Macaca mulatta: one gene and its partner. The protein of the gene in region 2 interacts with the protein of the main gene of each other region in a biochemical or structural test. Links are inferred from orthologs where the notes say so. Each region holds a gene or a part of one and is shown on either strand. Other genes may lie near its edges.

Region 1 (3,819 bases), on a different chromosome or scaffold from region 2:
GATTGCAGTATTAGCATTCCAGCATCTTATGATTCTAACATTCTGACAGCATCTTCAACTCTCTAGGATTCATACTTTTCAACCTTTGAGGATCTTGGCATTCCTGAATTCCAGTATGCCAATATTGCATCCCAACATTCCAAAGTTCCGAGCCATCACTCAAGAGGTTCAAGCTGCCACTTTCTTTTTTTTTTTTTTTTTTTGAGATAGAGTCTCGCACTGTTGCCCAGGCTGGAGTGCAGTGGTGTGATCTCAGTTCACTGCAACCTCCGCCCCCCAGGTTCCAGGGATTCTCCTGCCCCACCCTGGGTACCTGCAGAGCTACTCAGCTGGGATTACAGGTGCTCACCACCACACCCGGCTAATTTTTGTATTTTTAATAGAGATGAGGTTTCACCATGTTGACCAGGTTGGTCTTGAACTCCTGACCTCAGGTGATGCACCCACCTCAGCCTCCCAAAGTGCTGGGATTATAGGCGTGAGCCACCGCGCCCAGCCTGCTGCCACTTTCTATTAATAAAATCCCGGCATACTAATATTCTAATATTCCAACATTGAGTTCCAGCATGCTGGGATACCAATATTCTGCTTTCTCCAATTCCAACATTTGTGGATGTGAATGTTTCAAAACAGAATTCTACCGCTGTGAGCCCAATATTCCAGGACTCCAACCCGCCAACACTGGTATCCACAATCGGCCAGCGGTGCAGAATTCCACATGGGCCATCTTCCCATTCCGAATTCCCAAATTCTAGGATCCCAATATTTCAGCTTCCCTTGAGTCCGACATTCTCCATTTCCGTAATTAACACCAAATTCTAGCATTCTAGAACCTCAACCTGCCAACAGTTTAGGGATTCACGATGGTGACCTTCCAACTTTGAATTCCAACAATCTCAGGGTTCAACTTTCTAACATTCTGTGATTCCAACACTCCAAAAAGAAAGCAAGGCTGGGCATGGTGGCTCACACCTGTAATCCCAGCACTTCGGGAGGCTGAGGCAGGTGGATCACAAGGTCAGGAGATCAAGACCATCCTGGCTAACACGGTGAAACCCTGTCTCTACTAAAGATACAAAAAATTAGCTGGGCATGGTGGCACATGCCTGTAGTCCTAGCTACTCGGGAGGCTGAGACAGAAGAATCGCTTGAACCCGGGAGGCAAAGGTTGCAGTGAGCCAAGATTGCACCACTGTACTCCAGCCCAGGTGACAGAGCAAGACTCTGTCTCAAATGAAAAAAAAAAAAAAAAAAGCAACCTGATCCCAACCTTACAAGACTCCCAGTTCTTTTTTTTTTTTTTTTTTTTTTTTTGGGGGGGTGGGGCTTTTTGTTTTTTGTAGCTGGGATTATAGGCGCCCACCTCCACACCTGGCTAATTTTTGGATTTTTAGTAGAGACGGGTTTCACCATGTTGGCCAGGCTGGTCTCCAACTCCCGACCTCAGGTGATCCACCTGCCTCGGCCTCCCAAAGTGCTGGGATTACAGGCGTGAGCCACCGCACCCAGCACAAGACTCTCGGTTCTTACACCCAGACCTCATCCCCTGAGCCCTCCAAGCTAAAGGAGACAGACGCCCAGTCCAAGCACGGCACCAGCCAGGTGTCCAACCTGGAGCACCTGGTCAGCAGATGGCAGTCATGCCCCCAGCCTGGAAGGTCTCCATTCAAGGATACAAGGCTCACCTGAAGCAGTAGTTGGTGTCCAGGGCTCGGCGGTGCCGGGAGCTTTGCAGATGTTGGGCCCTCTCCAGCGGGGTGGCCATGAGAAGCAGGAAAGGCCGGTTCATGCCATGAATGGTGGCCAGGTCACCTCGGCGGCCGGTAGTGAACCCTGCTTTGGTGTGGGAGTCAGGGGATAGAGGACATACACACACACTCTCAGAGGGATAGATAAGTGGGGCGTGGGGCAGATGGGGACACACACATGCACACACGTCACAGCTGGGCACGGCCAGGGAAGCAAGCCTCACCGTTGATGTCCACTTGCAGTGTGTTATCTTTGCTGTCACAGGAGCAGTGGGCGCTAAGGCGAAAGCCCTCAATTTCCCCTGTAGGAGTGGGGAGAGGGAAGCCAGTCTGAGAGTGCAGCTTACCCAGCCCCTGGAGGAAGAGGAAGGAAGGAGCAAAGCCCAAGGGGTTCCTTCCTGCCTCCCCCACCCACCCCACTCTGCCCACTCGCTGCAGCTCTTTTTTTTTTTGAGACAAGGTCTTACAGCCTCAACCTCCCAGGCCAAAGCAATCCTCCCATCTCAGCCTCCCGAGTAGCTGGGACCACAGGCGCGTGTTATCATGCATGGCTAATTTTTTTTTTTTTTTTTTTGAGATGGAGTCTGGCTGTGTTGCCCAGGCTGGAGTGCAGTGGCATGATATCAGCTCACTGCAACCTCTGCCTCCCAGGTTCAAGCCATTCTCCTGCCTCAGCCTCCCAAGTAGCTGGAATAACAAGCGTGCACCACCACGCCCGGCTAATTTTTTGTATTTTTAGTAGAGATGGGGTTTCACCATGTTGGCCAGGCTGGTCTTGAACTCCTGACCTCAGGTGATCCACTGGCCTCAGCCTCCAAAAGTGCTGGGATTACAGGCATGAGCCACTGCACCTAGCCTACACGGCTACTTTTTAAATTTTCTGTAGAGACAGAGGTCTCGCTATGTTGCTCAGGCTGGGCTCAAGCAATCCTCCCGCCTTGGCCTTCCAAAGTACCAGGATTACAGACATGAGCCACTGCACCCAGCCAGCATCAATCTCTTGAATGAATGAGTGAATGATATTTTCTAAGCTCCCACGATGTGCCGAAGCCTATGCTGTGTGCTTGGGACTCAGCATTGACCAAGACAGATGAAATCCTTCTAGGCCTTTATCGAACAGCCCAGGACACTCCTCTCGGTGCCCACCTGCTCCCTAATCCCTATTTTTTGTTTCTCATTTCTTTTTTTTTCTTTTTTTTTGAGACGGAGTTTTGCTCCTGTTGCCTAGGCTGGAGCACAATGGCGCGATCTTGGCTCACTGCAATCTCCGCCTCCTGGGTTCAAGCAATTCTCCTGCCTCAGCCTCCCAAGTAGCTGGGATTACAGGCATGTGCCATCACGCCCAGCTAATGTATTTTTAGTAGAGACAGGATTTCTCCATGTTGGTCAGGCTGGTCTTGAACTCCCGACCTCAGGTGATCCACTCACCTTGGCCTCTCAAAGTGCTGGGATTACAGGCGTGAGCCACTGTGCTTGGCCCACTAATCCTTATTTTTTCTTTCTTTTTTTTTTTTTGAGACTGAGTCTTGCTCTGTTGCCCAGGCTGGAGTGCAGTGGTGCGATCTTGGCTCACTGCAAGCTCCGCCTCCTGGGTTCACACCATTCTGCCTCAGCCTCCCAAGTAGCTGGGACTACAGGCGCCCACCACCATGCCCGGTTAACTTTTTCTTTTTTTGGATTTTTAGTAGAGACAGAGCTTCACCTTGTCAGCCAAGATGATTTCGATCTCCTGACCTTGTGATCCACCCTCCTTGGCCTCCCAAAGTGCTGGGATTACAGGCGTGAGTCACCGTGCCCCCAATCCCTATTTTTTCATGTGGCCAAACTACTATTTATCCTGTGAGTCTCCACATAATCACGCTCACCCAGCAAGCCCTCCTAGACTCCCCAGATGGGTCTGGGAGCCTTCTCTGGGCTCCCAACAGCGCTTAGGGCATCCCCCATCCTGCATGCCTCTCTGTCCCAGCCTTGTCCTCTCTGCCCGTGCCTCCCCGTCCCATCCTCAATCATTCTAGGTCATTCCTGCCTGGTGGGGCAAGATCTCTTCGGTGTCCAGAAGTGACTGTGGGCC
Region 2 (4,343 bases):
ATTTAGAGTATATTTGATATAAATATTTAATTCTCAAGATTAAATCATATTATCAAAAATACGTATTAAAATTATTTATATAATTATATGAAGTTCTAAACTGTTTAAATGATTTAAAGGGTATGTATTTTGTATGTATCTAATCATTTTCTTTCTTCTAAAATGATTTATGAGTATGTAATTTTTTCAAAGATGTTATCATTTTATAAAGTAAATAATAAGGTAATATAAAGGCTTCCAAAATCAAAGTACATGTTCCATATCACTTTCAACAACACAGTAGTATCTGTAATTAAGTCCTAAAACTTGATAGAATAACCCTGTACCACCACCTGCTGTTGGAAACAAAAAGTTTAATTTCATATGTTCAACTTATAGCTATGTATAAGCTTGGTGCTAGGTATAAATCTTGATGCTAGGTATAAATCTTCATGGGGATAAAGCAACATTATCATTATTATGGCATTTATGGATTTTAAGGCTTCGACATAATTTTTTGAGCATGTATGTAGATTTTTAAGTATACTGATTCTGCAAAGGAGGAAAGCAAGAAGTGGAACCAAACAAATAAAGCCAAATCAAATAAATAAACGCTTGCAATTTGAGTACTCTGCAGCACTTTAGGAAGAAGAGAACTTCATTTTTCTGCCTCAGAATCCCTACAGTTTTTATTCTTAATAATTTCATATACTATCATGATTATTCCTGTGTATATTTATCACTGTTAACAGATAATTATCAATGTTTAATGCAAAGGGAAAAATGGCCTTTTCCATCAGGATAAACCTGTATTTGAATGCCAGCCCTTCTACTTGTTAGCTTTGAGCTCAGTCCAATCATTTAGCTTCTCTGAACACCAGGCCAAAGACTTTTTAAAAATTAAGATATACACGTTGATCTTATAGGGTTTTATGAGATTTTAAAATATTATATGTAAAGTACCTGGGATACATATTAAGCACTGAATAAATGGTATCTCTGATTACATTATTTTAATTCCATAAAATTTGTATCTGTCACTAAAATCTCAAATCTGGAAAGTTCAAATCTGATCAGACCATGGACAGGTGTTAGAGAGATCATAAGAAGACATAAGAAAACTTATATTTGAAATAAATATAGAGAGTGAGACTTGAGTCAGACACTCAACCAAACTTGATAGAAATATCAAATCTATAGTAAGTAATCTTTACAGTTTCAGTCAGCAATCCAACTGGGGATCATCTTGACAAGGAGGTTAGGGGAGGAGCATAGACAGTCCAAACATATGTTCTTGAACATATGCAGACTCATCTGATGAAGGTCTTTAGAAAGCTTGAATCTCCCTCATAAACAAGTCTCTAATGGATTTTAAAGAATGGACTTTTATCATGTTTTCTGATATAAATTACTCATCGGCTCTATAGAAAGCAGTAGTAGGCACATTTAATGATACTTACATAAAAAATGTGGTTAGCAGGAACATCACTAGGGGAGTCTTTTATAAAAATCTAATTAAGTCAGAGAAATGAAATAAGACTATACATTTAGTACTATATGAAATGAGGCAATGGATAGATAAAAAAATAAAGTAGAGAGAAGGATGGACAGACAGATGAATGCAGAGACCTCAGAAAAGAAGTTTAGCAGGGTAGAAAGTAAAACTTCTTTACAATAAAATTCCACTAAATAAAGGCAGAACGAATTATAGAAACAGAAAAATCACTATTTGGAAGCCATACTAGTAATAATTATTTCAGACAAGACTCATCAAAGAATTATTGCATAAAAGTATAGTGAGAAACAGGATGATTATATAATCTCAAAGTAGCTCACAAGATAGTTATTCATTACAAAGACAAAAATGGTAACTTTACATTAAAGAAAATTGGCAGACACCCCATTTACCAAATGGACAGTTAAATTACTGTTTCACTAAAGACATCATGCTGCACTGAGAAAAACCCATCACTCCTGCCAAAAATACATAGCTTAAATCTAATAAGGAAACATCAGACAAACCCAAACTGAAGAATATTGTTCAAAATAACTGGTCTATATTCTTTAAAAAAAAAAAAAAAGTATCTGTCATAAAAGTCAAAGAAAAACTGAGTCTCTGTTCTAGAGTAAAGGAAGATAAAAAGATATGAGAACTATATGCAACATGGGATCATGGATTGGTTTAGAATATTAGTGGTATAAATGGCTGATTTTGAATATGGTTTCTAAGTTAGGGTTATTAAGTTATAGTGTTATTAATGTTTGTTTCCTGATTTTGTTCATTGTAATGTGGTTAAGTGACATAAAATGTACACTAATATATTTAGATGTAAAGAGTATCACGTTTGTAACTTACTCTCAAGTGTTTCAGGAAAAAAATATATAACTACAGTTATATTTGCATCTATACTTATATCTACATTTGTAACCATATCTATGGAGAGGCTGGGGTTGGAAGAGAGAAATAGGAAGGAAAAGAGGAGAGGGAGAAGAAGGGAGGAAAAGTGAGAATTATAAAGCAAGCAAGAGAGGTAAAGGTTAACATTTGGAAAATCTGGGTTTGGGTATAGCATATAAGAATGCTTTGCTCTAATCTTGCAACATTTTTGTACCCCTGAAATTACTTCAAAATTAAAAGTAGAAAATGATAAAGGAAAGTGAAGGAGAAGGGAAAAGGACAAGGAGGAGAAGGAGAAGCTTACTTTCAAAAAGATCTTATACCAAATCTTCTCATTTGTAGATGCTCCATAACGTTAATAATATAAGTACATATTTACTGAATGAAAATAATTTTCATGGTGTAGTAGCCCATGTTCACGGTGCTGATAAAGACAAATCAGAGACTGGGCAATTTACAAAAGAAATAGGTATATTGGACTTACAGTTCCACGTGGCTGGGGAGGTCTCACAATCACGGCAGAAGGTGGAAGGTACACTTCACATGGCGGCAGACAAGAGAAGAGAGCTTGTTCAGGGAAATTCCGTTTTTAAAACCATTAGATCTCATGAGACTTAACCATCAACAGAAAAGCATGGGAGAGACTAGCCCCCATGATTCAGCCACCTCTCACTGGGCCCCTTCCACAACACGTGGGAATTCAAGATGAGATTTGGGTGGGGACACAGCCAAATCACATTATATGGGAAAGAGAAAAAAAGATCTAGGAGCGGGAGTTTGGAATGAACTACACATCTAATTGTACACATTTCCTGTGCTATAATTTCTATGAAGAAAAGAAACAGGCTAATTTTTGTTCACTACTGTTTATGCTGTTCCAATATAATGCCTGGCACAAAGAAAATGCTTAACAAATATGTGTTGATGGAACCATGTCAGAGATCTACTTTACAGTTGTTTTAACTCTTATTCTCCTCTTCTGCAACTGTCTTAACATCTGCCCACTAAACATCTAGATTTCATAAATACATAACTATTCAATCTGAGTAACATTTTTAGGAGAGAACAACTAAATTGTGTAAGGCAGAGAGAGCTTACATCTGAGTATTACATAGCAATGAAACATGGGCATCTCTTCACTCTCCAATCGTGAAGGGCTTTGTGGTTAACTTACATTCTTTTTCCCCTACTGAACAATTACAAATTTCCTTGAGCATTAATTAGTAGCCTTAGCCAGATGTTAAAGTGTGGCGGATAAAGTGTAGCATCATATTTCAAACCAAAATCCAAAGTCTAAGCAACATCTAATTTTTTTGGAATGTGGATTGTGAAACTTCAAACTACAAGAGTTCTAGATGTGCTGGAGAAGTTTGAAAGGGTCACAGTTGAACCAGACACATCAACCAGCCTAAAGGACAACAGATGGCAAGGAATGTCTCTGAGTTGCCTAGTTTATTTTATCCCTATTCTTGGTAACATCTCCATTTTTCTCTTATATTAGATGGCGTACTACATATGTCCAGCCTCAGAATGCTTGGAAACCAACAATTCCCTTCAGTCTAAGACAATTACTTAAATATAAGTTTTTAAGCTTACAACTGATGGATACATCACCATACTCTACCCACAGCTGATAAATTCATCAGGGAGCCCTTGACCTGGTGCTAACCAGTTCTTACAACCAGTGACACCTATGAGGTGGCCTGGAACAAAATGTCCAGGTACATAGATAATGGTGCTTATGGTGGAGTTTTCTGTTTTGCTTTGTTTTAAAACAGAATTATTGAGACAGGCTCGACACAAATTTTGCACATTTTAATGTGTACAATTTGATGTTATGATATATATACATATATGTATACAAACATATTTTATGCCCATTAAGCCATCACAATCAAGATATTGTGCAGCAAACCACCATGGCACACATTTACCTATGTGACAAACCTGCACATCCTGCACATGT

Evidence for each region.
Region 1: the proteins of DCN (region 2) and TGFB1 form a complex in vitro, tested with the Homo sapiens proteins (3 studies listed by BioGRID). The link is inferred for Macaca mulatta from reciprocal best matches to the Homo sapiens genes DCN and TGFB1.

The regions. Positions count from the first base shown.
Region 1 is NC_133424.1:52,485,883-52,489,701, forward strand, and holds part of TGFB1 (transforming growth factor beta-1 proprotein), read right to left. Parts: intron 2,051-3,819; coding exon 1,973-2,050; intron 1,837-1,972; coding exon 1,686-1,836; intron 1-1,685. UniProt on the Homo sapiens protein: Transforming growth factor beta-1 proprotein: Precursor of the Latency-associated peptide (LAP) and Transforming growth factor beta-1 (TGF-beta-1) chains, which constitute the regulatory and active subunit of TGF-beta-1, respectively.
Region 2 is NC_133416.1:98,632,284-98,636,626, forward strand, and holds the start of DCN (decorin), read right to left. Parts: upstream 2,937-4,343; 5' UTR 2,862-2,936; intron 1-2,861. UniProt on the Homo sapiens protein: May affect the rate of fibrils formation.